Linked DNA regions of Astyanax mexicanus. The protein of the gene in region 4 interacts with the protein of the main gene of each other region in a biochemical or structural test. Links are inferred from orthologs where the notes say so. Each region holds a gene or a part of one and is shown on either strand. Other genes may lie near its edges.

Region 1 (8,771 bases), on a different chromosome or scaffold from region 4:
GTGTTTATATACTCACTTGATCATTTAGTAATATTATAATGAATATTAATAACATTAAAAAAGTAGAAGATTCTGCATTACTGTGTCCATTAAAACATCCCTAAAGTTCTCCTGATGGGAATCCAGTGTTATGTATACATATTTTATCCATCACATGGTTTGCTAAGTCGGATGAGTTGAGGACTGACTCAAGCTTTGTTCTTCAACTATTTCCTTAAGAGAGAGAAATTCTCGTTACCTTATTCTGTATTCATGTTTAACTTCATCTGTTTTTACAGTAAAAATGTACTGCTGAGATATAGGTAACATACTTACAGGAAACGAATAGTTGTCCATCCCATTGCTCTCCTTTTCTGAAGTCATGAGTTGTTCTGTAGGTCCTTAAAGTGAAGAACACAGAACACTGCACAGTTTCACAGATAGACCTTGTAAGACAGGATGAAAAGAGACCAAGGAAGTACAGCAGAAGCAGTGTGAAGGAAGACAGGGGACCTTTGAGGAGATACGTTACAGAGGGAGAGAGAGAGATGGAGAGAGAGAGAGAGAGAGAGAGAGAGAGAGAGAGGCGATGAAGGCTGCTGCTGCTGCTGCTGAAGTTGATTGTAAATGCAATGGGACCTATCAGCTGATCATGTGAACTCAATTCAGCAGAGCTAAAGAGCAGCTGACTTAAGCCTCGTGCTGATAGAGTAGAGCACTGTCTCACACGCCCACGCCTACACACACATACACAGACACACATGCACACGCGTATACACACACTCCCACACACACACAAACGCGCATACACACATATACAAATACACACATATAAATACACACACACAAATGCTCAAACATATTGCAAAATCGCAATGTCTCTCTCTCTTTCTCTACCAGTAAAAGGAGCACAATGAAAGCATTTACTAACAGCTTATCCCATGCTAAGATTTATTTTTCTGTTTAATTGGAAGTGCAAACAAGTGCACTGCTAGGAAAATGAATCACGCATTATTTCACATGTATAGTTCAAATGTAAAACACATTATAATGCATAGGTTAAAAGGTACTACACATGATGGAGAGTAGAGAATGAGGATCATGAGATGATGAAAATAAATTAAATTAAATTAAATTAATGGTTTAAATAGTTATACTCTTAAATAAATATTAAATCTAAAATAGAATGTTTAAGCAATAGAACAAAACAAATGACAAATTACAGATAAAAATCCCTCCCTGGATTTTATTAATAAATAAGGGAAAGTTCAACAAGCAAACAAGATTTGATGAGAGAAATTATACATGCCATTCAGATGTTCAAGAGAACACTTGGCGATGCCCAAGAGAACACTTGGATATGCCCAAAAGGACACTTGGAGATACCAAAATGGACACTTGGAGATACGCAAGAGGACACTTGGAGATACCCAAAAGGACACTTGGAGATGCCCAAGAGAACACTTGGATATGCCCAAAAGGACACTTGGAGATACCCAAATGGACATTTGAAGATTGGGTATCTTCAAATGTCCATTTGGGTATCTCCAAGTGTCCTTTTGGGCATATCCAAGGCATATCTCCAAATGTTCTCTTGGGCATCTCCAAGTGTCATTTTGGGTATCTCCAAATGTTCTTTTGGGTATCTCCAAGTGTTCTCTTGGGCATCTCCAAGTGTCCTTTTGGGTATCTCCAAGTGTCCTCTTGTGTATCTCCAAGTGTCCATTTTGGTATCTCCAAGTGGGCACTTGGAGGGCACTTGGGCACAAGGGCACTTGGACATGCCAAAGAGAACACTTGGAGATACCCAAGAGGACACTTGGAGATGCCTAAGAGAACACTTGGAGTACCCAAAAGGACACTTGGAGATGCCCAAGAGGACACTTGGAGATGCCCAAGGGAACACTTGGAGTACCCAAAAGGACACTTGGAGATACCCAAGAGGACACTTGGAGATGCCCAAGAGGACACTTGGAGATACCCAAGAGGACACTTGGAGATACCCAAAAGGACACTTGGAGATGCCCAAGAGAACACTTGGAAAAACCCAAAAAGACACTTGGAGATACCCAAAATGTTACTTGGAGATTCACATTAACATGCATAGAGACACTTGGAACTGCCAAAAGAGGACACTTGGAGAAGCTTGGAGATACCCATAAGCACACTTGGAGATACCTAAAACTACACTTAGAGGTACCCAAAATAATACCCAAGTAAATGCCCAAGGGAACACTTGGAGTACCCAAAAGGACACTTGGAGATACCCAAATGGACACTTGGAGATACCCAAGAGGACACTTGGCGATACCCAAAAGGACACTTGGAGATACCCAAAAAGACACTTGGAAATACCCAAAAGGACATTTGGAGATACCCAAAAGAACACTTGGAAATACCCAAAAGGACTTTTGGAGATACCCAAAAAAAAACACTTGTAGATGCCCAAGAGGACATTTAGAGATACCCAAAAGAACACTTGGAGATACCCAAAATAACATTTGGAGATACCCAAAAGAACACTTGGAAATACCCAAAAGGACTTTTGGAGATACCCAAAAAAACACTTGGAGATGCCCAAGAGGACATTTAGAGATACCCAAAAGGACACTTGGAGATACCCAAAAGGACACTTGGAGATGCCCAAGAGAACACTTGGAAATACCCAAAAAGACACTTGGAGATGCCCAAGAGAACATTTGGAGATACCCAAAAGAACATTTGGAGATACCCAAAATGACACTTGGAGATGCCCAAGAGAACATTTGGAGATACCCAAAAGAACACTTGGAAATACCCAAAAGGACTTTTGGAGATACCCAAAAAAAAACACTTGGAGATGCCCAAGAGGACATTTAGAGATACCCAAAAGGACACTTGGAGATACCCAAAAGGACACTTGGAGATGCCCAAGAGAACACTTGGAAATACGCAAAAAGACACTTGGAGATACCCAAAATGTTACTTGGAGATTCACATTAACATGCATAGAGACACTTGGAACTACCAAAAGAGGACACTTGGAGAAGCTTGGAGATACCCATAAGCACACTTGGAGATACCTAAAACTACACTTAGAGGTACCCAAAATAATACCCAAGTAAATGCCCAAGGGAACACTTGGAGTACCCAAAAGGACACTTGGAGATACCTAAATGGACACTTGGAGATACCCAAGAGGACACTTGGCGACACCCAAAAGGACACTTGGATATGCCCAAAAGGACACTTGGCGATACCCAAAAGGACACTTGGATATGCCCAAAAGGACATTTGGAGATACCCAAAAGGACACTTGGAGATACCCAAAAAGACACTTGGAGATGCCCAAGAGGACACTTGGAGATACCCAAAAGAACACTTGGAAATACCCAGAAGAACACTTGGAAATACCCAAAAGGACATTTGGAAATACCCAGAAGAACACTTGGAAATACCCAAGAGGACATTTAGAGATACCCAAAAGAACACTTGGAGATACCCAAAAGAACATTTGGAGATACCCAAAAGAACACTTGGAAATACCCAAAAGGACTTTTGGAGATACCCAAAAAAAAAACACTTGGAGATGCCCAAGAGGACATTTAGAGATACCCAAAAGGACACTTGGATATACCCAAAAGGACACTTGGAGATGCCCAAGAGAACACTTGGAAATACCCAAAAAGACACTTGGAGATGCCCAAGAGAACATTTGGAGATACCCAAAAGAACATTTGGAGATACCCAAAAGAACATTTGGAGATACCATAAAAAAAAAACACTTGGAGATGCCCAAGAGGACACTTGGAGATACCCAAAAGGACACTTGGAGATGCCCAAGAGAACACTTGGAAATACCCAAAAAGACACTTGGAGATACCCAAAATGTTACTTGGAGATTCACATTAACATGCATAGAGACACTTGGAACTGCCAAAAGAGGACACTTGAAGAAGCTTGGAGATACCCATAAGCACACTTGGAGATACCTAAAACTACACTTAGAGGTACCCAAAATAATACCTGTAAATATGGACACTAGGAAATGCACAAAATGATATATGAAGATGCCCAAATGGATAGTTGGAGACAAGCAACAGGGGACTGTAGATGCTGGAAAATACCAAAAAAGACACTGTGTATATAGCCAAAAAGATGCTCAAATGGACACTTGGAAAAGCTTGGAGATGCCAAAAATTCTATATGGCGACACTTGCAGATGGAAAAATAAAAAAACATGGAGATGGCAATAAAATCCCAGTGTTCTTTTGGGTATCTCCAAGTGTCCTCTTTGAGTATCTTAAAAAAGATTTAAAGACATGTTGAGATTCCTAAAGAGACACTTAGAGGTGCTTGGATTTACCAAAAAGGACACCTGGAGATATCCAAGAGGACACATGAAAATGGACCACATGGATAATTTAAGGCACACATATAGTTACTTAGAGCACTTAAAGATGCATCTGCCCAAAATGACAAATGTAGTTGCCCAAAAAGCGACATGGAGATTTCCATAAACATGTTCCCACTTCCGGCACAGTTTTCTTATTTCTCCTTTTTGTTCCATCTGGACTCTTTTGTGCTTAAAAAACAATTAATTTTGCCATCTCAAGAGTGCGTAAGGTAGGAAACCTTGTCAGTAAGGTAGGAATCCTTGTGTGGTTCTCAAATTTAGGATACTGAGATGTGGGTGCATTTTTGGGGACTTGGATTTGATTAATAAAACCATAAAAGGCATATTGTCCTGAACTGCAGAATTCTCCAGATTATGATTATATGACAAAACAGCAAAATAGTGATTTAACGTTTAAAAATGGGGATTTTACTACTCCAGTTGTGAAACGGACTGTAATTAGATTAACGGAGGAACAGTGAAATTACAGCACTTTGAATGTAAATACATTACACTTCGTCAAACAAAGGTGTACAGTGGACAATGCCTAAGAAATAAAAAAAAATATATAATAATAATAAAAATGCCTAACCATGACTAAACATAATGCCTTTCTCACAATACAGGATTTTTACAATCTTAACCAATGTTGAAATTGTTGGAGATACCACACATGAAGACATTTTACAACAAATTTTCTGTATTAATTAATTGTTTGATATTAACTTCCCCACACTATACTACCAGCTGTACCACGCCCAGACCACGCCCCCATTCTCAAAACCTCGCGGGAGTTTCGGATGTAAACAAACAGCGGTGACTATGGTCATGCTAGTTGTGAGCGCTTTCTGTCCAAAAAAGACAAGAAAAAGAAAAGGATATGGACGAAACCAAGAAAAGAAGGAGTTAACAGGGCTTACACGCACTGCAACGCCAGCTGGAGGTAAATATACACATGTACATAGATATATACCGTACACCGCACATATAAATATAGGTAGGTTAGCTGAATGTAGGAGAGCAACTCCAAACAGCCAATTTGCTATATCATATGCTTTAACGTGTCAACTACTGAAACTATGTAACTTATTTAAGTGTTTTTTATAAACATGTAAAGGTTGTAAAATTGATTTAAATACAGCTACTCCATTGTTACAATGGTCCCAGTGTAAATTAAATACCGGTGGCGGAGCATAAAGTCCACTAATCCAGTAGAAGGTTATATAGGCCTAATAGATAATTGCATGATTTCAAATCATGTAAACTAGACTAACTGCTAACATGCTAGTCATTTTTGCTTTTATCTTATAAAACATTGTTTGTAATAATACGTGTTTCGGTTACTAGAGGTGATCTCAGGACGATATCTAAATTTTTTACCTCAAAAACACTTGTGGTAATAGCTTTCTCTGGGTGTTTCAAATGTGTCTTCCTTTTGTTAACAAGAAGACAGTCTGTTCTCCAATATACTGTTAATTTTTAATAAACCCCTCGTTTTAAATACCATGTTTAAAGTTCACACAGTTTAAATCCAACCTGTATACACCCCCCTGTATATCCAATAAGATGAGCTCTCATTAGTGGATAGTCTTTCAGTCATGAGGGTACAGTCACGTTTCAAGTCGCAGCCTGTAGAGAATAAAGTAAAGAAGAAAAGAGGAGGGAAATGACATACGTGCTCCTCTGTCACGCAATAGGGACCACTGTCTCGTTTTTGTTCTTTGTTAAAAAGTCTCATAACAGTTTTAACGAACTGTAAGGCGTAACCTTGTCATCTTGAGGGTGCACCGAAGGCAACGCCGTCTATAAACAGTAGTGTGTGTCTGTGTAGATGTACTTTAAAATATGGACAAAGAGCAACGTTAACAGCAATGTTAGTGGGCTGATTTAAAGTGACCGGAACTGTGGAGGTTGAACCAAATCCATTATTCAGATTAATATATTGTATCTAATGGACTATTGAGATTTAGTCACGTTTCAGTTGTGAGTCTGTAAGATTTCTGACACGATTAGAGCATGTTTTGATGCGTCTGGGTGGCTTTGTGTGTTTTGTGCATAATTTAGTGAGTAATTACGTGTCTTGTGCGTTTTTATGCATCTCGTGCGTAATTACGCATTTTGTGCGCTTTTACGCATCTCGTGCGTAATTACGCATTTCGTGCGCTTTTGCGCATCTCGTGCGTCATTACGCATCCGGTGCGTTTTTATGCATCTAAGACAAAACTGAATCAATCTTCACAGTAACATATACTCTGTTAGTCTCTTTGTTCGGTAACGTGCTGATAAAGGTGTTAAAACATGCTTTACCACCAACAGACAGCACTATTACACGTGTACCTTCGCTGTGTGTGCTCCTAAATTATAAAACAGTCCTCCTTTAGATATCAGACTCACTGAATCTACAGCATCTTTTAAAAAACGTTTAAAACCCCACTTTTACTTTTTAGGCTTTCCAGAGGGATCATGGGAAATGTGTCTATTTTTGTTTAATTTATTTTATAATTATTTATTTATTATGTTTTAATTATTTTACTGTAAAGCACTTTATGGCTCTGTCTTAGAAAAATGCTATATAAATAAATATTACTTACTTACTAATGTGCATTGTCCTGATCCCTATAAGCTCCCCAAAAATGCACAGATGTATCAGATATCGAAATTTATACTAATAAATACTATATACTATTTATACCCAAATATGTAAATAAACTAACATTTGTGGTTTAAGTGTATTTTTATACACAATTATTATACTATATTTAGAGAGGATTAACCCTCAAAATATGTTAGTAAATTTAACCACAGTGCAGATAGCTCACTTTCTTAACATTCATATTCTAAATAACAAACCAAATTACATTGTCTCTAGCCTTTATGAAAGTTCTCAGATATTTAGTATCCCAACAGGAGGAAGAAAAACCAAACAACAAAACAAACAGTTTTTTTTAAGTTATTTCAGTTGATACATTCAGTGTGAAAATGTTTAAACTCATGCAAATTAAAGAATGTCAGCCTGTATAAGTGTATAAAAAAACTAACTTAAGCATGAAACTTATCGCATGTAAACTAATACATAAAAAAACAGATAAGCAATGTTACAAACCCAGTTTTGATTTTTAATTTTTGCAGTTCTGCCATGTCTATGCCTTTTTCTGTGTTCCTCTTTTCCTCTGGACCAATATAATATTCACTCTTCCATCAGTGTTATTACTCTTTTGACCCTATCAGCAGGATTAGTGTGTTTATTTTGCCTGTATTTAAACTCCTTCTACTGTGGAGCTGCTGATCTAAACTGAACTAATAGACACAAAGAAAGGGGATATCTGGTCACCCTAGTTAAATTATATCTCAGAATGTCTTAAATTCCCACGATTTAGCAGAAGCAGTATACTGCTGACTGTAACAGAAGGTCATTGTGATGTTTATTTCCCCAAACAAGACACGTGCCATCTCACTTGACATCCAACCACTTATTAATCTGTAGTTACTAATTCAAAGAGAGTGTATGCAATTAGTCAATTTCACAGAACACTCGTTTCAGCCCAGTTTAGTGTATTCAACTTTAGCAATGAATTGTTGGTATGCTGAAATAGTACAGGCTGGGGTGAAATGTAGTCTAGTGGAAATTGATGTCACATGAAAGCCTGAGAGGCTGGGGACAGTAAGTTACAGTAAGTCATGAGATTTCTGTATGCTGCATTTCTTTTTAGGCCTGTACATTCATTCACCACTGCCATCCCATTCATAGTTGTGCCCTGCCAAAGTATTTAGTGCCCTCAAAAGTCAACTGATTTGTTTGTAGAAACAAATTCAGTATTCCTTGTCTTTTTTTGTGTTATGAAAAACATTTTGATACAACTACTACATCCCCAAATATGGAGCATAAGAGAATATCCAGTTTAATTTACAGTTATCAACCAAAACAGAAGTGATGTCAACCTCATTATGATTGATGGCATCTTTGAATGAATCATCACAAAGTGGAAAAGTGTACTGTGGCCAGGCAAATCATTGTTCTACACTTTCTTTGAAAGAAACATATGTGCTTCAAAAGCCAAAAGTGTCGCTTGTTTTTAAAACAAAATGATACAATAGACACGGTAGAAATAAATAAAAAATGATAAAAACAACAACAATCCTAAAAAGTGCTGGGTCAAAGTAAATATTTATAGGCATATCTCTTTTGACCCAAAGTGTGGGTTTTTAACATTTTTGGAGTGTATGTACCAAGAGCCACCACTAGATGGAAACCAACTCCTGCAGTGCAACTTTAAAATAGATTAATTTAAGCATTTTTATTAGTTTCAGAGTTATAAAGTTATACAGGGGTGTCTAGCCTCTATGTAAGTTTAACTGCTATCAATAGTAATAGTACTACTCATAATACTGCTATTAATACTACTGCTAATACAACAAA
Region 2 (8,077 bases), on a different chromosome or scaffold from region 4:
GTTCTAGTGTGATTTTGAAGGACTTTTTAATCTTGGGCCAGACCAAATACACATGATCTAAAGAGTACTAGTCTTCTACTTTAAGGAAAACCTGGAATTAGCCTGGCCCAAGCTGATTTTATACTTTAAAATTAACTGGCAACATGGAATACCGATCCATAATGCACAATGTTTTATGTAAAGCTGATGTTCCAGTGTGATTTTGAAGGACTTTTTAATCTTGGGCCAGAAAAAATACACATGATCAAAAGAGTACTAGTCTTCTACTTTAAGGAAAGCCTGGAAATAGCCTGGCCCGAGCTGATTTTATACTTTAAAATGAACTGGCAACATGGTATAACGAGCCATTTTGCACAAAAAAGCCACTGTTCCAGTACAAGTTTGAAGAATTTTATCCTTTAAAATGAATTGGCAACATGACATGAAAGCCATTTTGCACAGAAATAATGAATATAAAGCATTGATTTTGAGAATACCAGAACTCTTCATCTGATGTGTATTTGGTCTGAAAAAAAAGTCCAAAATCATACTGGAATATCAGCTTTAAATAATATTTTTTTTGTGCTGCCATGTTGCCAATTAATTGTGCAGTCTAAAATCAGCTCGGGCCAGGCAAATCCCAAAATTTTCTCAAAGTAGAAGACTAGTACTCTTCAGATCATGTGTATTTGGTCTGGCCCAATATGAAAAAGTCCTTCAAAATCACACTGGAACATCAGCTTTACATAAAAAATATTGTGCATTATGGATCGGTATGCTATGTTGCCAGTTCATTTTAAAGTATAAAATCAGCTCGGGCCAGGCTAATTCCAGGTTTTCCTTAAAGGAGAAGACTAGTTCTCTTCAGATCATGTGTATTTGTTCTGGCCCAAGATTAAAAAGTCCTTCAAAATCACACTAGAACATCAGCTTTATATTCAATTTCTTTGTGCATTATGGATCGTTATTCCATGTTGCCAGTTCATTTTAAAGTATAAAATCAGCTTGGGCCAGGCTAATTCCAGGTTTTTCTTAAAGTAGAAGACTAGTACTCTTCAGATCATGTGTATTTGGTCTGGCCCAAGATTAAAAGGTCCTTCAAAATCACACTAGAACATCAGCTTTAAATTAAACTTTTTTGTGCCTTATGGATCGGTATGCCATGTGCCAGTTCATTTTAAAGTATAAAATCAGCTCGGGCCAGGCTAATTCCAGGCTTTCCCTAAAGTAGAAGACTAGTACTCTTTAGATCATGTGTATTTGTTCTGGCCCAAGATGAAAAAGTCCTTCAAAATCACACTAGAACATCAGCTTTACATAAAAAAATTGTGCTTTATGGATCGGTATTCCATGTTGCCAGTTCATTTTAAAGTATAAAATCAGCTTGGGCCAGGCTAATTCCAGGTTTTCCTTAAAGTAGAAGACTAGTACTCTTCAGATCAAGTGTATTTGGTCTGGCCCAAGATGATAAAGCCCTTCAAAATCACACTGGAACATCAGCTTTACATAAAGAAAAATTGTGCATTATGGATCGGTATTCCATATTGCCAGTTAATTTTAAAGTATAAAATCAGCTTGGGCCAGGCTATTTCCAGGTTTTCCTTAAAGTAGAAGACTAGTTCTCTTCAGATCATGTGTATTTGTTCTGGCCCAAGATTAAAAAAATCTTCAAAATTGTACTGGAACAGTGGCTTTTTTGTGCAAAATGGCTCGTTATACCATGTTGCCAATTCATTTTAAAGTATAAAATCAGCTTGGGCCAGGCTAATTCCAGGTTTGTCTTAAAGTAGAAGACTAGTACTCTTTAGATCATGTCTATTTGGTCTGGCCCAAGATTAAAAAGTCCTTCAAAATCACACTAGAACATCAGCTTTACATAAAAAAAATTGTGCATTATGGATCGGTATTCCATGTTGCCAGTTCATTTTAAAGTATAAAATCAGCTTGGGCCAGGCTATTTCCAGGTTTTCCTTAAAGTAGAAGACTAGTACTCTTTAGATCATGTGTATTTGGTCTGGCCCAAGATTAAAAAGTCCTTCAAAATCACACTAGAACATCAGCTTTATATTCAATTTTTTTGTGCATTATGGATCGGTAGGCCATGTTGCCAGTTAATTTTAAAGTATAAAATCAGCTTGGGCCAGGCTAATTCCAGGTTTTCCTTAAAGAAGAAGACTAGTACTCTTCAGATCATGTGTATTTGGTCTGGCCCAAGATTAAAAAGTCCTTCAAAATCACACTAGAACTTCAGCTTTAAATTAAACTTTTTTCTGCCTTATGGATCGGTATGCCATGTTGCCAGTTAATTTTAAAGTATAAAATCACCTTGGGCCAGGCTAATTCCAGGCTTTCCCTAAAGTAGAAGACTAGTACTCTTTAGATCATGTGTATTTGGTCTGGCCCAATATGAAAAAGTCCTTCAAAATCACACTGGAACATCAGCTTTACATAAAAAAATTGTGCATTATGGATCGGTATTCCATGTTGCCAGTTAATTTTAAAGTATAAAATCAGCTTGGGCCAGGCTAATTCCAGGTTTTCCTTAAAGAAGAAGAGTAGTACTCTTCAGATCATGTGTATTTGGTCTGGCCCAACATGAAAAAGTTCTTCAAAATCACACTTGAACATCTGCCTCATTTTTTTGAGCGCAATGGCTTTTAAAATATAATTTTATTAAATATATATTTAATTATTTATTGTAATATATAATTATAAATTCAGTAATTAAAACAAATATTTTACAATATACAAAATTACATTTAATAATATATTGTATATTTACATTGTTAATAAACAGATGTACTGCTTTTCTTCATTCTATCTCCTTCAGTGTTGATCTGTGAGGTGTTTAATATAAACAGCGGGTGTTTGTGAACGCTCCCTTTAGTTCACGGTGGTTCAGTGTAGCGGCAGCTGCGAATATCAAACCAACTTCAGCCGGGGAATACGAGGCTGCGAATATCGAGCCAAACGAATCTGGAGCTGCGAATATCAAACCAACTTCAGCCTCGTCACACTTAAGACATGCAAATTAGAAGCGTCATTGTTTTCTGTACTTGTTAGACGTTGGTAACATTTTTAATAAGTACAGTGACTAACACTGAAACCTGTTAGCGAGCTTTAAATAATACATATAGCCTCATGTGTTTGTGCAGAGAGGAAAAGTGACTAAAAACAGAAATTACTCTCCTACTGTGGGTTAAACCGTCCAACCGATCAGTAGTCACTTTCGTTAGTTAGTAACCTAGTTAGCTAGCGTTAGTTACTTTAACTAGTTAAGATAGATTGGTTAGCTATTATTATTGTTTCTAAATCAGCCAAGCAATAGTTGTGTCTGTTTATTTGTCAGGTTTAACTACTTTACTTCGCTGAGTTTACATAAACACTGCTATCTAGCTAATGCTAAAGCTAGCCCAGACTGCTGTTCCTCGTGTATTTAACGTTATACATCAAGATTTGGGCTTATTCTTACCTTTGCTGTTCTTAATCTGTAGTTCTTCGGCCAAAATACCCGCGGACCTGACTGCTAAACCTCTTCCTTATACCTATCTTTATCTCTGCTGTGTTAAACTACTGAAAGCTAACCTCACTACTGTAGTTACTGAACCTCTCGCTGCCTCCCGACCGACTCTCACCAACGTATTCAAACATCGCGCTGAGCCCCCTCCGCCTATCCCTGTGCGCCGACCTCAGCCAATCAGAAGCGCAGGGGCGGCCGCCGCAGATGCTGATTGGTGAGCAGCACAGTGACGGTTTGAATTTAACCAACGAAATCCAGTAACAGTACTGCAGATGTAAAATGTTCCATTCCACCTTAAATGGAATAAACTACATGTGACAGCAGCACCATTTAAGGTGGATTGGGAAATTAGGTTCCTTTTCTGGATATTTCTGGTGGACAAATAAAACGCAGCAGCTCCAAACCGGCGTAAACAACAACAACAAAGCGCACTAGAACCTTAAAGGTGAAAACAGAATGAAATGAAACCCATGAAAGTAAAATCATAAAGTCTGTGGTCAGTGTTTTTTTCTGTAACTAACAATATATAACATTAGAATATACCAAAATAAACATAATTCCAGTGATCAATAAGTGGGTTTATCTGTAAAACAATACAGAAGATTAGAATAAATCATCAAATCTGTTTTATTTCTATAGCTCTTTTCCAAAAATGTGGTACCAGGACAGAAGAAATAAAACTTAAAATATAAACCCTTCCATATAAACCCTTCCAGTGAGTAGCAGCAACAAGGAAAAACTCCAACATAAGTGCTGTAAGAAAAAGGAAGTACCCAGGGTCACAAAGGTACTTTACAAAGCAAGGTACAGGTACATGGCTGGCCTTACTGCAGTTCTTTCCTGTTCCCAATAAAAAAAAAGTGTTTTTACAATTTAAAAGAAATGTAACAATGACAATAATACAGCACCTTAAAATGTAACTGATTGGGATCATCATATTTTTGTTGGCAGAAGGAATGGCAACAAAATGCTTTAATACAATTTTTATTGTGTGTTTCAGGTCTGAAATGCAGGAATGGGGAATGGATGTACCATATTAAATTCAACATTCAACCGACAAAATGTGTAAAATACAAGTGAAAATATAAGCAATAAACAATAAGTCTACCACCCCGTGGAGCTGGCCGCAAGATATATTTTTTTCATGAAATTTATGTTGGATATGGTTCTACTGTCACAACTGGTATATATGTGGCCAACCTAGATGCCTCAGAGTGCAGAGAAATTAACAATTAACAGCCATTGTCAACACAAGGTGTCTGCTTTGCACAGAAAAATGACATTTGTAAGCCAGTGTAAGTTAAGTGCAGAGTAAGCAAAGACACATCAGGTTCAAGGTCAGTTCAGGAATATCTCAAGACAGGTCTCAAGTCAGTACAAGCAGGTCTAAAGTGAAGTTGTCATGTCAGTACAGGCAAGTCTCCAGATCAGTCACTAGTCAGTACAGACGGTTCTTCAGCCAGTACAGGCTAGTCTCTAGAGGAGTGTTAAATCACTACATACACTATTTTACCAAAAGTATATGCTCACCCATCCAAATCATCATCATTATAGGATCCCATCTGTGCACAAAGTTGTAAAATTTACTGCATGAAAACTGCATGAAGACCTCAAGATTCTCTCAAGAACAGTAGAGCGCTTCCTGAAATAGGTGTCAATGTCCAAGCAGCGGCATTCAAGCCTTACATCACCAAAATCAATGTAGGCATGCAGAAACGTTTGTGTAAAATAATAGACTATAAGTCTTGAACTACTACAAGGTAGTAGTGCAGAGACAGCACAGTCTAAAGTTGACTACATAGAGCGTTTTCACAGCAGCACTATTTGGTCCGGTTAAAACGAACTCTGGTCTGTTTGTAACTTTAGTGCGGTTCGATTGAGCAGGTGTGAAAACAGTAATCGCACTCGGGTGCGGATCAAAAGAACCGGACCGAGACCAGCTAGCCAAACGAACTCTGGAGCGGTTCGCTTGTGGTGAGAATGTGATCCGGTCTCGATCGGATCCAGCTATTAAATATAAGCCATTTATTTGAGCTAAACTTCTGATAAAGCAAGCACAGTTTAAACTGATATATTAGCCAGATAACGCTGATTACCACAGCTGTGAACAAACACTGTCCATGCACGCGCCGTCTGCGCTGCATTCACTGCTCGCAGCCGCGTGACTCTGTTTATTATGTATAAATCTGCGCTGCACGGAGAAACACTGTGTTTGAAAGTGCAGTGTTTCAGCGTTCATTGTTAAAGCACAGATATTTGCGCTGGAACACAAAATCTTCTCGCTGTCTTTACTTTTTTCGTATATTTATATTTAACATACTCCCGTGTCAGACAGCTCTGACCAATCAGAGGACACAGGCTGCTCGCGTGGTTTATTGATGTGCATTTCGGTGTGTTTACATTTATGCCTATGTGAAGCCAGACCGAACAGAGCGAGAAAACGCTCCAAGTAAACAAACTCATTAACTGATTCGGACCAGAGAAACGAACTTTAGGTGTGAAAACGCCCTTAGACTGCATTGCACCGCTGCTTTTTAGCACACTAAATGCTATTTAAAACACTGGACACAAAAATGATTGGACTGGCAATATTGCAGTTTATTGATTTGAAGATTTTGGAGATTAAATGAACATCATAGACATACGAAAACAGAAAAGCAGCCTATATTATATTATATTACATTTGGCAGACGCTTATATTGATAACTGTGGATAGATTGGAGTTTATGCGCAATAAGAGCATTCTGGCGCTTTAATTTGGAGGCCACATTCCATCGGTATATCCTACACAAATATGGTAACCAAGGCTGTCTTGTCTTGTCGTTGGGTTTGCCTGATCTGAGAACAGGTTTGACTTGCTTTGTCAGTAGGCATATATTTAGTGAAGCCAAGAAGTACATGAAACATGAAATAAAAAACAAGGTTTGTGAAAGGATTACTGTGCAGCCACAGACTTAAGCCTTGATTAACTCACTTATTCCACTCACTGACTCTCACTGAGTTGCAGCTGTGTACAGCTAACAAAGTGCTATTAAAACTACCAAACTCAGAGCTAGGCAAAGGTTCAAATTCTTTAAAAAAGCACCATGAGCTACCACCACTGATACACGCACTGATTAATTAACATTTTCTTTCACAATATTACAAATTTGCAAAAAGCTTTAATGAAAACTGGTGTTAAATCAAGGTTGAGCAGTGACTTGGGTCTGATTCTAGCTCACAGTGTTGATAATGGCTAATCTATATTACACAGACAAACTGAGGAATTGGAGCGAAGCCTGAATCCAGCATGTACTGGTTCAGTGAATGTGTGGTGTATGGTGTGTATGTGGATGGGTGTGTCTGAGCTGGGTGAGATGTTGTAGAAGGACAGTGTACCCGCCGCCCAGTCCAGAAACACTCCCATTCTGTGAGAGGGGGACGGAGGTGTGGATATGGGAGTAAGATGACAATTGTGCCAAAGAGCGTAATCAGCATTAATAAACCCCTCCAGACTCCAGGACTGATTCCAGGCCCCAAAAAGACTTTTCAATCCAAAGTCTTTCCTTGCTATTCCTTTATACGACACAGTCATAGCCGCCCCCCTCCCATCCCACTCAGCCTCCCAGTAGCAGCGTCCAGTCAGACTCTCCACACTAAGAACCTGTTTGATGTTGTCAAATCTGTCTGGATGTTCTGGATACATCTGATACTCCCAAGACCTCTTCGCCTTTCTGTTTCCCTCAGACAGAGTAAGACAAGGGTGTATTGTGTTTTGGTCCAGTGTGAGTGCGCAGGCATCTGTACACACAAATAATACAAGATTAGAAAATAACAAACAAACAAAATGCTATATGTGGATGTGTGGAACTTACATTTTTTTAGTCCTGGTTTCATCCAGATCTTCCCTCTATGTTCCACTCTAAGGAAGAAAGAAAACAAACATTTACAAAATCTAGCTTTACAACTTCAACGAAACCTTGCTGCATTACCTCCTCACACACTGCAGCAGGATCACGGTTACAGCTTTGAATAAATTAAATATCAATAATGGAAATCGGTTGACAACTATTTACTTTGTCTTTTACTATCAAATATGATTCATCACGTTATGAGGGCACCTATAGAGCTCCTAATTCTAAGGCGCACTATCAATGAACGTCTATTTGCTGGTGTATTATAATTTGGTGCACCAGAATATAAGGTGCATTTACGCGACAATAGTAAGGAACAAGGGTGTCGTCATGTTTCCCTTCTAATTCTAAGTAAACAAAACTGTAATTCTTAAAAAAATATATTTTCAAGTCAAACAAGCACTGGATGTTAATTTACACAGATTTCTCTCCTGGAAACTGTTTATTTGGGTGAGTAAAGTGCTTCTGTTTATTTACAGGAAGCTTAGATTTTCAATGTTGTCAACAGCGCAGTTAGCAGCAGTGTGCTAATTCTAGTAAATGTCCTAGTGCTAGACCGAGGTACCCTGAGTGTTCTGGGAACCCTGGGCACTATCAGCTCTGAACAGCGAAAGGGCTAGCACTGCTGTTAGCGGCTGATGCTATTGCTGTTCCAGCCTCTGTGCTGGAGAAACTTCACTATAAT
Region 3 (8,266 bases), on a different chromosome or scaffold from region 4:
CCATCTTCAAACAGTGTTACTTAAACAAAATGGGCAAAAACGTTGGGTTTTTATGCCGTTGAGTTTTTTTTTTGTAAGTAGGCCACTTTACTAGTATCAGTTCCCTGAGCCCATTGTTTGGTGACCACATTCACTGCCCAAGGCCTTCATTCTACAGCACACACAGCATTCACAGCCCTCTACACCTCACGGCACTGTTCCTCAGCCCAGAGCCAGGCTCAGCGTGGACACGTTTAATGCAGTTAGAGAGTTTGTGTGCTCATGTGAGGCTTATTAGGCTTTAGGACACCAGGGTGGAATGCAGGATAATGGGCAGCATGCTGGCAGGCCGGAACGCCACTCTCCCTCTCTCAGACTCTCTCACACACAGCCTGTACAACCCTGAAAACATGACTGGTAAACACACTCTGCCTCAGTGCACAATCGTCCAAAGAGTTTTAACACATCCATAGTGATCAGTTTCTTAGTTCCACACTTCCACACTGAAGCAAAACCTTCACAGCTTGAGATAAACTTGTTTTAAGGCCAAAATAGAGTGTGTGAAAGTAATAAGCCACTTAGAAATAGCTATATACATAAATAGGGAACTTTAAAAGCAAATCTAAAGAAAATATGCTTATCAGACTGCTTAATAGTATTAATATACAGAACAGAACACAACACAACACGCACAAGCAAAACAGATACAAATTGTACAGAAATGTACAAAAAAACTCATAGCTGCTCATATAATACACAATAAAAGGTTTCTACACAGAGCTGGAGATTTTTTGCATTTAATATCAGGAGAAAGAAAAATGAAAGACAATTTAAATCAGATAGATACTCACGTAAACTGTCCCGAGCGCTCCAGTAACGAGAGGAGTCTTGGTTCTCGCTGGCCAGCCCTCAGCTCATGCCCCCTCACCGTCTAAGCATTGCAATTAAGGAGTCAAAGGCATGCGGTGGAAGATAAAAGGAAAAATGTAGAGGGGAGATTTACAGAAAAGCTGATATGTTTAACACCTGACTGATCATCAGTGCTCCTCTAGTAGGGTTAGACTGGTCCTAAAGGAATATTACACTGGAAATAGGTCTGTTTTTATAATACATCTTAGTTTGTTTATTTCTGCAGTAGAAATTAACGTAATTAACAATGTTATTATACAGTTTAAAAACACTTTAGGCCACTGATATAAAATATATTTTTGGCCCATTTCCAAAATTTTACATATTTATAACTTACATAGAGACTAGGCATCACAGTAAAACTTTCTAACTTTAAAATGAATAAAAATACATACAAATTGGATTAAATCAATGTATTTTAAAGTAGTGGGGCCAGTGTCAACTGGATACTGAAGTCATTCAGACTATGAAGGAACACGTACGGAATCATGTAGTAACTTAAAAGTGTTAAAAAAATAAATAAATAAATAAATAAATAAATACTAAACTACTTTAGATGCTCTTATCCAGGGTGCTGTTAACTTGCGATTTCTGGCGCTGGAAACACTGATGAACTATCTCTCTTAATTCTTGCACTTCCTTTCATGGGGTGGCCCTGATGAGAGCCAGTTCAATCATAACTGCACTCGAGTAGACTTTTAAAGATCTTAAAATGTTTCGGATTCTAATAAAAAAATTGGTCACAAAAAAAAAAAGAAATGTTTCGGATTGACTGAGCTGGTATGTGTCTCTGTATGTTGAAGAGTCTGACTGCCTGGTGGAAGAAACTGTTCCAGAGTCTAGTGGTGGAGGCTCGGACGGTCTGTTATCTTCAGAGCGAAAATTCACAATGCTGAAGGCTTTGCGGATGCAGCGTGTGGTGTAGATGTCAGTGATGGAGGGGAGTGAGACTCCAATGATCTTCTCAGCTGTCTTCACTATCCGCTGTAGGGTCTCGTGATCCGAGATGTTACAGTTCCCAAACCAGACATTAACGCAGACACTCAAGATGCTCTCTTTAGTATAGGAAGTAGAGGCGCTACTGGGCTTTCTTGGTTTTGGAGCTGGTGTTGAGGGACCAGGTGAGGTTCTCTGCAATGTGAACAAGCAGAGTTGCAACAGCTTCTTTCACCAGGCATTCAGACTCCTCAACTCACAGAGAGATGAAGCTGATGTTGTCTATTGTATTGTTGTTCCATGTTGCATCATGGTTCCTGATGAACATAATTTTGCACCTGTCTTCAGATGTAATGATAATAAAAGCATTTTAACTTCACTCTCTTGGTATTTCTTAGTACTCTAAACTTAGGGTGTGCCATATCGCATCATACGCAATAATATCACCAACATTTTTGAATATCGTGAACGATATTATACCCTGAAATACTGTGCCATATCACCCACCCCTATTTATCACATCAGGGTACTATTTGTTTGCTGTTCTTAGCAAACATAAAATTCACACTGTTCTCATTTCCCATTATATATCTACTAGAGAGTACTAAAGATCATATCTGTGCAGTAGTGTTTATCCTGGATATATGGAGATATTTGGAGAAGTGCATTACTAGTATCATGACATTCTGGATCATTGACTTCTGTTGCAAATCTGATAAAACTCGTATTTTTTTTTAAATATCTCAGTTAGGGGTGTGCTGTATCATATTGTATGCAATAATACATTTAAATATTCATTTTGTTGCAGTAGTGCATTCTTTATATACGTTATTATTTTTATTTAATGTTTTTGTCATATGGCTAAACAATAATAGGCTAGATAGATAGATAGATAGATAGATAGATAGATAGATAGATAGATAGATAGATAGATAGATAGATAGATAGATAGATAGATAAAACTAGGACGTGATAACTAACTAGATAACTGAACAGATCTAAATTGATCTATTCAGTTAAAATAACCTAAACCTACATAATTAACTAACTTAACCAACTTGTTAGCTAGCTAGTTGGATTGTTTATAAATCTATATGCAGCTTGTTAGCTACACTAGCCTCAGTAAGCAGAGTCAGAGCTTTTTTTTAAACCGAAATTAAACCATTTTAAAGGATACAGTCAGACATTTCTCCTCGCAGAGATCCAGAGAAGAATCCATACTTTAGCTCTGTTGTCACTTAGTTCGCTTTACTCCATTAATCTCCTGTTTCTCCGGTCAGGTTAGCAGGCTGTGCTGCTGCAGCTGCAGCTTTTCCTCCCACTGTTTTTCCTCCAGTCCTCCGGTTATTCCTCCGGTTAGTCCTCCAGTCCCCGCCCCAGAATGTTCACCCGTGTCGGCCGGCCTTCAGCCCGAGATACCGGCTCAGCGAGACGCTGTTAGACGCTGTACGCGGAGCTAGCTAGCCTAACTAGCTATGCTAACTAACTAACTCACCGGGCCACGACCCTCTCCTTCCCCAAATCTCCTCAATAAACCACAAAGATTAGTTGTTAATTCAGCTAATTTCGTGTCAACCCGATAAAAAAACTGTTCCCCCGCGAGTTCAGAGACCGGAGAACCGACTCCCCGCAGCTTTAGTATAAAAACAGACACACTAACGACTTCACCCCGACTCTCAAACCGCCGCTTAACAAGCCGAACCGTCCCCAGAACCCTCCAGCCGGACAGCGGTAGCCCCGGTCCTCAGGCTCTCTCAGCGCCGGACTGTCCGCGCCGCCGCCCCGCCAGCTGTCCGCAGCCTCAGCGCTGCATGTTAGTTAGCGTTAGCATTAGCTTTAGCTTTAGCATCGCTGCTCCACATCAGCGTGAGAAAACCGCAGGGCCAAGCGGGCGGAGCGTCTGGACACACCACACTGCGCAGAATGTGCGCATACTGAGCCCTTAAGGTCACATTAAAATAAAAAGAAATAAAAATAGTAATAATAACAATGCGTGGCCACGAATTATTACGGCGTGGAAACGACATTAAGTTGTGGGGACGGCTTATATGGCCAGAACTTAATTATCTAATTCCCACGCCTTAATAATGCGTGGCCACAACTTATTAAGGTGTGGCATCAAGATAATTAAGCTGTGGGGATGGCTTATCAACGTATAGGAACTGGATAATTTAGTCGTGGGGACCACTTATATGGCCAACGACCTAATAAGTAATCCCCTTGACTTAATACGTTGCCCCATGACTTATTATCTCATTCCCTCAATTAAGTGGTGGGAATGATTTATTAAGGTGTGGGAACAACTTATAAAAGTGTGGGAATGAGATAATTAGATCCTGGCCAAATAATCCTGCAACTTAATTATCTCGTTCCCACGCCTTAATGAGTCATCCCCACGACTTTGCCTTAATAACCCCCAACTTAATGATCTTGCCCCCATAATTAAGTCGTGTGGTCACTTATAAAGGTGTAGGAACAAGAATATTAAGTGGTGGGGATGACTTATTAAAGTGTGGGGAAACTTAATTGTCTCGTTCCTATGCCTTATGCCTTAAGTCATCCCCAAGATTATTATTAATTATTAACCCATCTAAATAAGTCCCAAATTATTTATCTCATTCAATGGCTTGATTAAATGGATGAACTTATTAAGGCGTGGGAAGGAGATCATTAAGTCCTGACCATATATGTTGTCGCCATAATTTAATTATCTTGTCCCCACAATTAAATCATGGGGTGACTTATTAAGGTGTGGGAACCAGATAATTAAGTGGTGGGGATTCGTCCCCACAACTTCATTATCTCCTTTTCACCTTAAAAATAGCCCCCACACCCCACTACCATTATTTTAGTGTAATTCAAAGGTGTAATAAACTTGTGACAGTAAGAAATTCTTAGTAAGCAGGTTCTTTCAAACAACAGTAGCAAAAATATAAGATAAGATCATCTAAAAACTGCAGCAAAAATGGAAATGATTCACAGTTTGAATCATTAATGACAGTTATTACTGTCACACTGTAACAAAACAAATGACCATGATTCAATAAATAAAATTAAAATATTAGTCAGCTGATTAAAATGCTGCCTTTATAAATGATAGATAGAAACCATTTAATGATGACTTTCAATGATGTACAAACAAGTTCAGACCACGCCTATATGTTTTTTATGATTATAAATATATAGACAAATAAAAGTTTCAGTTTCAGTTCTGTACAGTTTACTATAGAACAGTGTTCAGTCTGTGTTAAATGGAGAAGCCTCCCTCTGCTGGCCAAACACAAATCATATGATCAATTTTAGAATAAGCAAATTAATCTGTCTGCAAAACACACCACAAAATATTCTGACAAAAACATACTGCCATATATTACATGTTTTAAATGTATTTATTATGTCTGTACATTTTACAAAAAAACATTACAAGAAACGCATTAGACTTTCATCTCTTAGAAATAAAACCTGTATAATAAGAAAAACTTTTGAATTGATGCTGAATTGATGGAACATTGCATAACCATGTAGCTTTTGTTGAGTATTGTAGATTAATGTTAAAGTAAAACCATAGCATACAATTACACCATAGCAAATTGTCTTTATGTGAGAAACTCCTTATATTAATGAGTATATATATACTGACCTCCATAATATTTGTTATAAAGGCATTTTCCTCTGCTCCATTGAAAAAAATCTGACTAATTAGACATGATTAAATATACATTCAATTTTTTTTTTATTTAAGAGTATAATTTTGCATACATTACTTATTATTTACTGTGTTTAAATTACAGGGCCATTCCACAGAATCGGTGCCATTTCTGTCCTTAGGAAATTACATATATAAATGTGCGCCCGAAATAGCTTTAAAATACATTTTATTATTAAAAATAGCGTCTTGTACATTGACCTAATTGCAAAAGTAAAATGTGAAATTAAAAACATTAATAAAAACTACTTAGAACACTGAAAAAAAAGCATTTGTTACCTGTCCCCACTCTCTAACTATAAACTTTACCATGAAATATAATTATTAAAATCCCTCAGAGATGTTTTTTTTTTTTGCATTGTTGTGTGAATCCAAATCCCACCTATGCTTTAAAATGTTTTTTTTTTTTCATAATGAATTCATAATGTTTAAGTTAAAATACACATTTTAGAGTAGTTGTGTCTCTGGGTTTCACTCAGTCCTGAGTCTGGAACATTCTACAACAGGAAGTGACATCAGCTGTTTTTTCTGAAGATCACAGGAAGACCAAAATTAATTTCACTCATTAGTTTTTCTGTATATTTGATCTTATTGTAACGATAACTGAGAGTTCAATCTCAACACTCAGTCCTGTTACCTAAATTAATTTTTAGATTTTATTTGTTTATTCTTAAAATACACATTTTTGGAAAATCACTAGAATGTGCTCAATTCCCTCGTGCTATTAGCATAGCCACTATTTAGCTATTTTTCATGTTTTTGCAAATTCTATGCTATAAACTATTTCCTGTTACTTTAATTTCTGTTTCAGCTCAACATTAGGCTTAAAGAAATATAGAATTCAGAATGGTGGTGAAAGTCTAATAGTCTAGTCTTCAATAAATAATTTAACAAAACAATAATAACTGGGGCATCCCAGTACTACTTCTCAGTATTATACAAGTCAACCTTACCATAATTAGTACAGAGGGAAGTCCATTGCTAACTTCTGGTGTCAGTAAATCATACAAAAACGAAACACAAACATCTAATAACGTTATTTGTTGTATTAACAATGCCAGACTAGCTAACCTACCCTGCACCTGGGAAAAGATTCCCATTTAGATATTTTTCATGGTTTTGCAAATTCTATCCAAAAAATCATTCCTGTTACTCAAAACATACAAAGTAACAGGACTAAGTGACAGTAACAGGAGTGAGTGCCAGTAACAGAAGTGAGTGCCAGTAACAGAAATGAGTGCCATTACCAGGAATGATTCTTTTGTCATAAATATCAATAATTTGAACATGCAACTATTTCTTTAACATAAAGACATTAAAGAAAAATTCAAGGAATAAGTGTTTTTTTCTAATGTAAACAAGCTTTTTATATGTCACAGGAGTTTTGTAACTATCTTCAGATTAGAAACCGTGTAAAACTTAAGTAAAGCTGCCTGAGTTTGACCAATACATGTTTTGAATAGTTTAATACGCATTATTCAATTTAGAGTTGAAAATTATATATATATATATATTTTTAAAAAAAGTTTAATTTGGAAGAGTTACAACTAGAAATGGCACCCGTTCAGTGGAATGGACCTACACTTTTTTTTACATTTTTTAATTCATTTCAGAGCACCATAATGTTTGTGACATTTGGCTTCACTCAGGTTTGTTCCATTGCTTCATTAATGCAGGAATAAGATAATTAGATTTAGTCTGTTGTTAGTAAAGTTGCTTTTTGTTCAGATTTGAGTCTCAGGTAGAAGAAGCCGTGGTTTTGTGGAAGGCGTAAGGGCTGGAGTTACAGTGCGGCCAGAGGTCTCCGTTCGGCAGTTCTGCTCTGTCCCTGTCCTCCTCCGTCCTTTTGTCCTCCATCACCACAGTCATGACCATCTCTGGACTGAGCATGTCTGCGGCGCGGTAGGAGCGAGTGAGGTGACGAAAGCCGGAGTCCAGAGAAGAATAATCGTCATCAAAGTCCTCGATCAGTCCCCTGCGGGACCTGCGGGCGGCCTTCAGCTCGTCCTCCAGCTCAGACACCAGGTCCTTCACGTCCCGCACCAGAGTGGACTTCAGCCCGAACAGACACAGCAGGAACACCAGGCCGGCGCAGATTCCCGACACGAAGTACAGAGCCACCGTCTCCGGGAGACCTTAGAGAATAGAAAAGAAGAAGAAAGAAGAAAGATCGAACATTTCCAGACTGATTTATTCACTCTATCCATCATATAAAGAATGATCAGACTTGTGGAATTGTGGAAGGATGACACACTCAAGAAAAACAAGAAGAATTTTTTTATTTATATTCACTTTTAATAGCAAAAGTCTATAAATCTTGACTCTGCTCCATTTGACTAATTGGAAATGTGACATAAATTTAATTAAGCTTATATGATGATTTATCTTTCACAGTACACAGAGCTTTCATTTGTTTCACACAGAGCTGAAAAGTAGTCTTGGGACACTTTCTGAATACAGTTTAGTTTATGCCTTTATGTGTTAATGTGTGTGTGGAACAAAAATCTAAAATATAAAAAAACATTAAAATAAATCTCTTTATATACAGCTCCAGAAAAAACATAAAGAGACTATATAAAATGATCAATTATTCTAAATGTCTATTTATTGGTATACTGTATGTTTGAGTAAAATGAATATAGTTGTTCAATTCTATATACTACCAACAATATTTTTGTTGCCATTCTTTTTGTAGGTCACTTGACGTCATCCTGCTGTTGCTGACTGATTCAAATA
Region 4 (8,515 bases):
TCGCCTGAGGTTTTTCTTTCTTCTTCTTTACCTGAAAAATAATTGTGTAAATCTTACGTGAGGAGAGAGTACTACTGCACTGCAGAAAACTAAACAAAGTGAAATGCTCTCGTTTCAAAGCAAAAAAGCTTATTTTTTTGTTTTACCAAGTATTGTAAGCATAAGATTATTTAAAATTGCTTATATTAGGAACAACATTACAACAAAAAAAAACCCTTATTTTAAACTAAGCACAAAAACTCACAAAGTCTTATTCTGATTGTAGCATTAACATTTAGATATAAAATCAGATTAAAACGAATCTACATTTAGAATATTTTAGAAATCTTGCAATTTTTTTGGCAGAGTTTTTGCTTGTTAAAAGCACATGTATCTCAATTCTTTTTTTTTTTTTTTGCTTTTGTAAAATAAAGGGGGCTCTTAAAATTACCTGCTCCTTAGGAAGTAAAAACCTGTATCGACCTATCCCATGAGTAGGCATGGATTTGTACTGTCTGTCAGCTGAGAACAGAAAACCTAGAAAGAAATACAAAATTTACTTCAATGCTAAATAAAAATCATATTGGGCCGAAATAAATAATTAGAGATTATGTTTAAATAACACAGCAATCAAACATCACACTGAATAGAAAAGGAAACAGCCATCCTACCCAATGGTATTTGTTGCTTTAACAATGGTGCCCTGTAAGAGAAAAATACACAGGTATAATAACAAATCAGTAAAAATCACAGCATATTGCTGCAACCAATCTGACGATAGTTTTTCCAATTACTCAATTAGTTATTGATTACTTCTGCCATGCCCTTTATCTAGCTTCCTGTGGATATGGCTCCTATTCCTAGCTTTTTCTATTGCTTTAAAATGACAGAAAGAACTGAACAACTTAAATGTCATTTAAAAGCCTATTACACATTTAATTGTGAGATACTCTGACATTGTCAATTATGTTGACCAATACTAATCATTGCAACCCTACTACAGCCCTGTTCCTAGAGTACAAAAGCTCAACACATTAATTCTACATTCTCCCAAAACCTCCTTACAACAAATCAGGTGTGTTAGGAAGAGGGTTAATGCTGAAAATGGCAGGGCTATATGTGAGATACTGATTAAGAGCAGTGAACTAAAGCAATGCACCAAACTCACCGAATCAGAGACAGAGCCTGGGCCAGTGCTCGTGTGTTCTGCATGAGCAACATCTGTAAAAATAATAATATAAAATAACCTGTTATTGTGTGTAGACTGATATACACAGGGTTCCCACTTTTCAGAAATACATTTCAAAACTTTCATACATGAGAGCATGCAAACAAAGTAATTTAAAGTACTATCCAGAACTCAATCACTCAATCCTGTTATACATATACTGTACCTCACTGAATGTTTATAATGCACAGACACTTTATCTGCCATATTTTTTACTGTGGACTAACACTTTACCATCCCACGGCACATATTATTGCTCTGTTTTTGTAGTTCTTATTATACTCATATTTTTAATTTACTGTTGAGTTCTTTACTTATGTATACAATAGAGGTGTGCCATATTATAATGTACATGATATCGCCAATTTATTAGTATTTTAGTAATTAGTAATTGTAATTAGTAATTGGGTGTTGCAGATTATATGCATGCACTTTAGTTTTATGGTATATTATTGTTGGTATATTACTATATATTTGTTCATTTTTTTATTTTATTTTATACAAAATCAGAGTGTTCGTAAATTACTGTTTATGAAATTGTTAGATTTATATAAAAAAATCTATTTATGTTGTTAAAATTTATTTTATAAAATGCATATTAACCTTTAATCAGCGTATTAATCTTGTATACATTTTTGTATGTCAAATAAATTGAAATTAAGTGTATTACTCCTGTATATTTTTAATATAATGTTAATAAGACTAGCTTCTATCCAACAAAATCGAAGGGGAAAATGTTCTACATGGGACTCAACCTGTAAAATTAATAAATATATTTTCTTACATTCTTTACATTTAAATACATGTTAAATTAAACACATCAATTACATACATAAACACATAACGCTACAATACATTATCTATTTAAAAAAAGATTGTATTTTTTAATTAACGTAGTTACAGAGTGTTTTAGCAACATTTATTACCTCAGGACAACTTATAACCTGTGTTTATCTTCAAAATAATATAAATGAATGGAGCTGAGAGCCAGTTACCCCAAAAAACTACAGTAACAGTGTACTGACAGACACACAGCAGAGCACACATGACCTTTACCACAGAGCAGCCCCACATTAACGCCGTATTAACACTCCACCAGTACTGCAGTTACCTTCCCCGTTACCGAGTTCATCCTCCAGAGATCAGCTTAAACTCCGCCGAGTTAAACTCTATAACTCTATAACTCTATATCTCTATAAACATTAAGTAATAGTCAGTTCTACACTCCAGCAGCGCTGCGGCTGCGATTTCTTCTTCTCTGAATCCTGAGTCTGAATGAGGAGAGGCTCTGTACTGCCGCCTCCTGGAGAGGAGCACATTAAATTATCAGTACTGGTAATCTACACTGCCTGGACAGAACAAAAATAAGTCACACACTTAAATATTTTGTTGGACCGTCTTTAGCTCTGATTTTGGCACACATTTACTCTGGCATTGTTTCAATAAGCCTCTGCAATGTCACAAAATTAGTATTAATTTTTCACCAAGATCTTGCAGCAGCATTGATGATGGTAGAGTCTGACCACTGCTCAAACTCTTTTCCAGCACTTCACACAGATTCTCAATGAGGTTTCCATGTGTGAAAATGATTATCTAATGCTTCCTGAATCACTCTTTCACAATTCCAGCTCCATGAATCCTGGCATTGTCATCTTGGAATATGCCCGTGTCATCAGGGAAGTAAAAAAAAAAAAACATTGATGGAATAACCTGGTCTATAATTAGTATATTTCAGCACATACTGTTGCTGAGCCTAGACATGACCAACTGCAGCAACCTCACATCATTTACTTAGTTAAATTTAATTAATTACACTTTATCCTTTTATTCTAATGGTAAAAATGTACAGATCCCCTAAGGTGACATCATGTAAAAAATTCCCATGGCCATGACTTTTTAAGCTGTAGAAACAAGATAATTAGAAGGTGGGAACGAGATCCTAATGGATGGGAACAAGATAATTAAAGCGTGGAAACAAGTTATTAAATCACAAGGTAGTTTTGTTTCACAACAAACAAAGCAAGCAGCTCTCAAGGGGTTGTGCACAATATGACTGCATAAGGAAGGTTTTAGTATGCAACTTTTAAAGTGTCTTTTACTTAGAATTATGCCACATCTCACCGCAAGAGACTCCAAAATATCACCATAATTCATTCCAAGATGAAAATAAAAAGAAACCAGTTCACTCTCGATTTTCTTACTTAAGATTTCCTATGTAAAAATATGACACATCATGAATATAAAGCATAGAACAGAAATATATAGAGGTAACATATTGTATTTTATTTTTATGTTATTTGACATCTATGTGTTATACGTTTTATATATATATTAAATAATTATATTATATATTATATACAGAGGTGATTTTTGACTGTTGACTGTATAATGTGTATTTTTACTATGTTAAATTTAACAATGAAGCAGTAACTGTGCTCAGTGCTCACAAGTGTGTCTCTGTATAAGATAAGGGATTAGAGGGAGGCCAGTGTAACATTATAAAGAATAAACCCAGCAGTGGGTGTTTAATGAGTTCAGTATTGATCAGTTCCGCTGAGCTAATGTTCAAGTGTCGGATGTGACTCATATCTGTGTCATTATTTCACATCAATCTGGAGTTCAGCCTTTTCCTAAACCCCCTGATGATGGTGATGATGCAGGCGTTTTTAAAGAGACCATGACGTAAGGGGCCGTGACGTGGCGGCTCGCGGACTCAACCAAACACTGGTTCATCTTCGTCCCGCCTCTTTCACCCAGACTGAACCTTCCCTGAATCTCTGCAGAGAAACACGCTGAATTGAACTTTATTAGCCTTATATGAGATCAAAATGTAGAAATTTAGATACGATATCTATCTACCTATCTATCTATCTATCTATCTATCTATCTATCTATCTATCTATCTATCTATCTATCTATCTATCTATCTATCTATCTATCTATCTATCTATCTAAATAGAACACTTAAGTTACTTACTGACACATTTTATATATAATCCCTGTCTCTTCATTTTTGGCCAAATTATGCTTCATGTCATAATATCATTTTTAAGCAGTTGTTCTTCACATTGTGTCAAAATTCCATCATAAATATAATTAATTAATTTCTTCAAAATTATTTGAAATTATTCTTATTTTTATTTATAAATTTACTTTATCTGTAAACATTTTTGGAAGCAACATATACATATACATACACACATAGATATATACATAGATATACATACATACATGTATTATTATATTAACATGCACATATTTTAAAATATAATAAAATTCTAACTAAAACATAAGGGTTCGTTTTTTTAAACATTGATTTATTTGTGTGCTATTTTTTAAGACAAAAACTATAAACACAGATACAATTAATACATGTTTTTAATATTTTTTATTATTAATAATAATTTTTAAATCGCTTTTTAAAGTTCTGCTTCCTATTGGTCAGACCCGGCTGTCAATCACAGCCTCCGCTATCACGGTAGGTTGCCGCTTCCTCCGCCAGTCTGAGCGGAGGTGATGGAGTGAGGGGGAGAGCCGGGAGGGTCTCAGAACTTGGGTTTAAACTTGGGTTTGGATTGAACTTCTACTCGGACTAGAGGCGGATTAAAATACTCACATATCGGCTCACCTGTATCCGCCCTTTTAGCGCTCTGACCGAGGCGTGCCGTGCCCGCCCACAGCCTGCCGACTGACGGTTACCGGAGCTGGACGAGTCTCCGCCAGTAGAGTACCGAGCCCCCGTCAAGCTGCCGCTCCCTCTCCGCTGCAGGCATGTCGACCTCCGGAGACTTCGGGAACCCGCTGAGGAAATTTAAACTGGTGTTTCTCGGAGAACAGAGCGGTATGTTGAAGTATTTATGTCGACTGGAGTTGCTGGATCTGGCCGCTATTTTTGTTTAGCCAGTGAGCTAAGCTATATGGGTTAGGTAGCTAGCTAACTATTAGTTAGCTCAATGCTAACTAGCCCCTGGTGTTCTGTCTAGTTGTGCTACGTTGTCAATCTGTGCTTCCCTAGTGTATATTTAAAGGTAAAAATACAAAAGAAGTACAATATTATAGCATGTTTCCACTAAAAGTATATCTAAAGCACTGTCTATTCATTTAAAATATTTTTTTCTATTTAATGTTTATTGTTTTCAAAATAAGTTAATTGCAATATACAGGAATAGCCCATTAATCAATCTCAACAAACAGGCAAAAAACATTTGTTGGTAACGTTTGCACACCAAACATAATGAGCACCAGTGTTATAAACACTGAAAAAGTTTAAGAAATATTACACAGCTCCAAGTCAGTCAGATTTAAGTTTTCTACTGTCTTGTCCCACATTTTATTAAAGAATTTATATTTTGAGTAAGATGAATAGGACACTCGTTCAATCAAACAATTTTCCATGAAATTATTTTTCCATACAGTTAACGAGGGCGGCTGTGGCATTTGCCTATTAATGCAGAAGATAAAATCATTTTAGCTACTACTTTACTAAGTTTATATACAGATTTGTCACCTAAAGGCATTAGTCTTGGAGAAAGTTGTATATTAACATTTGTGATTTTAGATAAATGTTCTGTAATACTTTTCCAGGGAATTATATATATATATATATATATATATATATATATATATATATTAGTTGTCATTTACACTTTTATGTAATGACAGTGATTCCAGGTTGCTAAGTCAACAAAAAAACACAGGAAAACAGAATTATTATTATAAAAAACACGATTAAAATATAAGAAATATAAAGATATATAATATAATATAATAAAAAAAAGTATGTTGGCGCATGCGCAGTGCCTGTAGGAAGCACGTATCGATAGGTAGCATAAGTCGACACAACACCGGCCCACAGACTGATAGGTTAGCTATCTAGCTGTTAGCCAATATTAGACAGGCTCCTGTTAAGCTTTAACTCTGGGCTAAGCTGGAAAATATATATTTATTAGTTAGTTAACAATTATCTCAGCTAATTTAGAGTTTTCTTTATACGCCTATATGTCAAGTCGTGTAGTTAAATGATTTAATATTGCTGTAATTAGCTTAGCTTGTTAATAAACTTGAGCTATTTAAGATAATGTTAGCAGGCTAGCCCTAGCTAAACATTTTGAAGCTATTTGACGTTTCTTTAAGGGCGTTTTAACCTTAAGATTGCCTTGTTTGTGAAATTGGTTTAAATAATTTAAACAGCAAGCTAGCTACTTTTTTTACTATGTGAATGTGTCTTCGAATTGCTATTGATAGGATTTTAGAACCACTTACTTTGGCCTAAACGACAGATAAAAAAAAGTTAGTTACAGTAGTTCTCTGTACTGTTAAGCTATCTAATGATGTTTACAACATAGTTTTTATTAAATAAGATTAGTCAATAATTGATTTCATTGAAAGAATCAAGCTTTGTCACTTTGTCACTAAATCAGTGTCAATTCATTGTTAAGAAATTCTGAGCCTGTTTACACTTGGCTTTGACCTGTGTTATTATGAGCTGCTTTAACTGGATTTTTTTAGACTTAGGTTGCAGTTTGAAATGAAATGTTGATTGAATTAATTTTATACTGGTGAAAATTAGTGGTAGACTGTGGTTAGTTTTGTTTTGGGTAAACCCCATCAGATCCCAGTGTTCTGATTGGATAACAATTTAACTTTTACTAAGATCTTATAAATATGGTTGTTTTTATGCTATTATAGTGATTCTTTAAATCAAATTTAAGAAAACTATCACAATATATTGTGATATATTGTATTGTAACCACTGTATCATGATGTGTATCTTATTGCCAACTTCAGCCCTAGTGTAAACAGATGAGATCTGATGTGGGGCTCTGATGTTTCTATTTTGAGGAACAGTAAATGGTTCTTACAATCCTCTAACAGTTCCACCTGAAAATGTCCATCTTTTACCACCTTTTCACATAGTTTGAGTAATCTGATCATAACCTGTTCACAGTGTGACTTGGGTATGCTTACACATTTCACATGCCTGTAAAAGTAAGCTGTAAATGGCATTAAGCTTTATTATAGGTTTGTACTATTTGTATATGCAGTAGTAATGGCATTGGCTTTAGATAACACTCAGATAACCAGCTATTATTGTTTAATCTATCTTATCCAAACTAACTGCTTTTTGTATTGTATGTATTGTACAGAATATAAATAAGTGGAAAACCATCTTATACTGTAGGAGTCTGATTCCTCTGGGCTAAAACACCTGGCTTCACCTCACAGGCTGCTTCACGCTTTGGTCTTGCCCTTACAAGCTTGATGAACCGCCTACTGCAGCCTTCAGAGGCATTTTGACTAGCAAATGAATGTTGCGCTTCCTCTCACAATGATGTCTCACAAAAGGTGTTCGTGTTTTCAGTAAATATTAGCAAATCAGATGTGAAACAGTGCAGTGTATGTGTATTCAAAACTTGTACAATTCTGTCTCTTCTGTGGTCTGTTATCCGTCATGGATGCTGCTGGTTATGATCAAAACAAGACCTCTATCTGGATAGGGTGTTTTAAAGAATGTATTGTGTTTTGTCTTATGTGTGGACATTCACACATGCCTTGTAGTATTTGGTTAAAACATGTGATTTGTCCAGCAATTGCTATTTTATACAAATTTAATACACTTGTTCCAATCATCACTGTTTTATTAAAAATTATTTTATAGTTATAGATGCAGCAGCACTAAATTTCCAATTTTTTGGGGCACACTAGCCAGATTTAGAGTGGCAAAAGCTGTTGATTAATCAATTGTTATACAGTTATACAGTTAATCAATTATTATAAGTTTAGGCATATCTATATTTTAAGGGGCTTGTTTTGTTTATAGTGGTGTAGCAGTTTATTTATTTAATTTAAAAATATATATATCACACACAATATTTATCTCAGTAGCAGCACACATGATTTTAGTCAAAATACATCAATTGTGACCAATCCTTAAAAACTACAGTACAAATACTATCCAGCAGTGATTTTTATTCAATATAGAATGTACTGCCTTAATCCATTTCAGGACTAATCACACTTTTTAAAGCAATTTTGTTTGGTCAGTGTTCTTTAAGCATTGATGGTGTCTTCGATAAAATAAGCAATATTGTCTATACAATAAGAAAATAAATAATTATATGATAAAATATGGTCATATTGCCCACTGCCACACTGTGTAGTATAGATAGCTAGTTGGTAGCTATTTTTAAAGAAAAAATTTATCAGCTTAACCTCAGCATTGTTTTGAATTTGACAATAAATGCATTGTTACTACATTAATGTCATGGTGTACACACATGAGATTATTATTGATTATTGGCATGAACA

What was found.
Region 1: the proteins of rab6a (region 4) and bicd1a form a complex in vitro, tested with the Homo sapiens proteins (3 studies listed by BioGRID). The link is inferred for Astyanax mexicanus from reciprocal best matches to the Homo sapiens genes RAB6A and BICD1.
Region 2: the proteins of rab6a (region 4) and kif20a form a complex in vitro, tested with the Homo sapiens proteins (2 studies listed by BioGRID). The link is inferred for Astyanax mexicanus from reciprocal best matches to the Homo sapiens genes RAB6A and KIF20A.
Region 3: the proteins of rab6a (region 4) and ocrl form a complex in vitro, tested with the Homo sapiens proteins (2 studies listed by BioGRID and IntAct, with this or other methods). The link is inferred for Astyanax mexicanus from reciprocal best matches to the Homo sapiens genes RAB6A and OCRL.

What each region holds. Positions count from the first base shown.
Region 1 is NC_064416.1:18,196,366-18,205,136, reverse strand, and holds the start of bicd1a (protein bicaudal D homolog 1), read left to right. Parts: upstream 1-5,172; 5' UTR 5,173-5,176; coding exon 5,177-5,297; intron 5,298-8,771. Other genes in the region: slc23a4 (xan_ur_permease domain-containing protein), read right to left, coding at 316-363. UniProt on the Homo sapiens protein: Regulates coat complex coatomer protein I (COPI)-independent Golgi-endoplasmic reticulum transport by recruiting the dynein-dynactin motor complex.
Region 2 is NC_064424.1:33,418,230-33,426,306, reverse strand, and holds the start of kif20a (kinesin-like protein KIF20A), read right to left. Parts: upstream 3,633-8,077; 5' UTR 3,452-3,632; intron 1-3,451. UniProt on the Homo sapiens protein: Mitotic kinesin required for chromosome passenger complex (CPC)-mediated cytokinesis. Following phosphorylation by PLK1, involved in recruitment of PLK1 to the central spindle. Interacts with guanosine triphosphate (GTP)-bound forms of RAB6A and RAB6B.
Region 3 is NC_064417.1:49,198,916-49,207,181, forward strand, and holds the start of ocrl (inositol polyphosphate 5-phosphatase OCRL), read right to left. Parts: upstream 3,683-8,266; 5' UTR 3,044-3,682; coding exon 3,002-3,043; intron 911-3,001; coding exon 831-910; intron 1-830. Other genes in the region: si:ch73-335m24.2 (protein eva-1 homolog C), read right to left, coding at 7,268-7,665. UniProt on the Homo sapiens protein: Catalyzes the hydrolysis of the 5-position phosphate of phosphatidylinositol 4,5-bisphosphate (PtdIns(4,5)P2) and phosphatidylinositol-3,4,5-bisphosphate (PtdIns(3,4,5)P3), with the greatest catalytic activity towards PtdIns(4,5)P2.
Region 4 is NC_064427.1:4,753,090-4,761,604, forward strand, and holds the start of rab6a (ras-related protein Rab-6A), read left to right. Parts: upstream 1-4,687; 5' UTR 4,688-4,978; coding exon 4,979-5,048; intron 5,049-8,515. Other genes in the region: mrpl48 (39S ribosomal protein L48, mitochondrial), read right to left, coding at 1-31, 431-516, 651-682, 1,148-1,200, 2,319-2,339. UniProt on the Homo sapiens protein: The small GTPases Rab are key regulators of intracellular membrane trafficking, from the formation of transport vesicles to their fusion with membranes.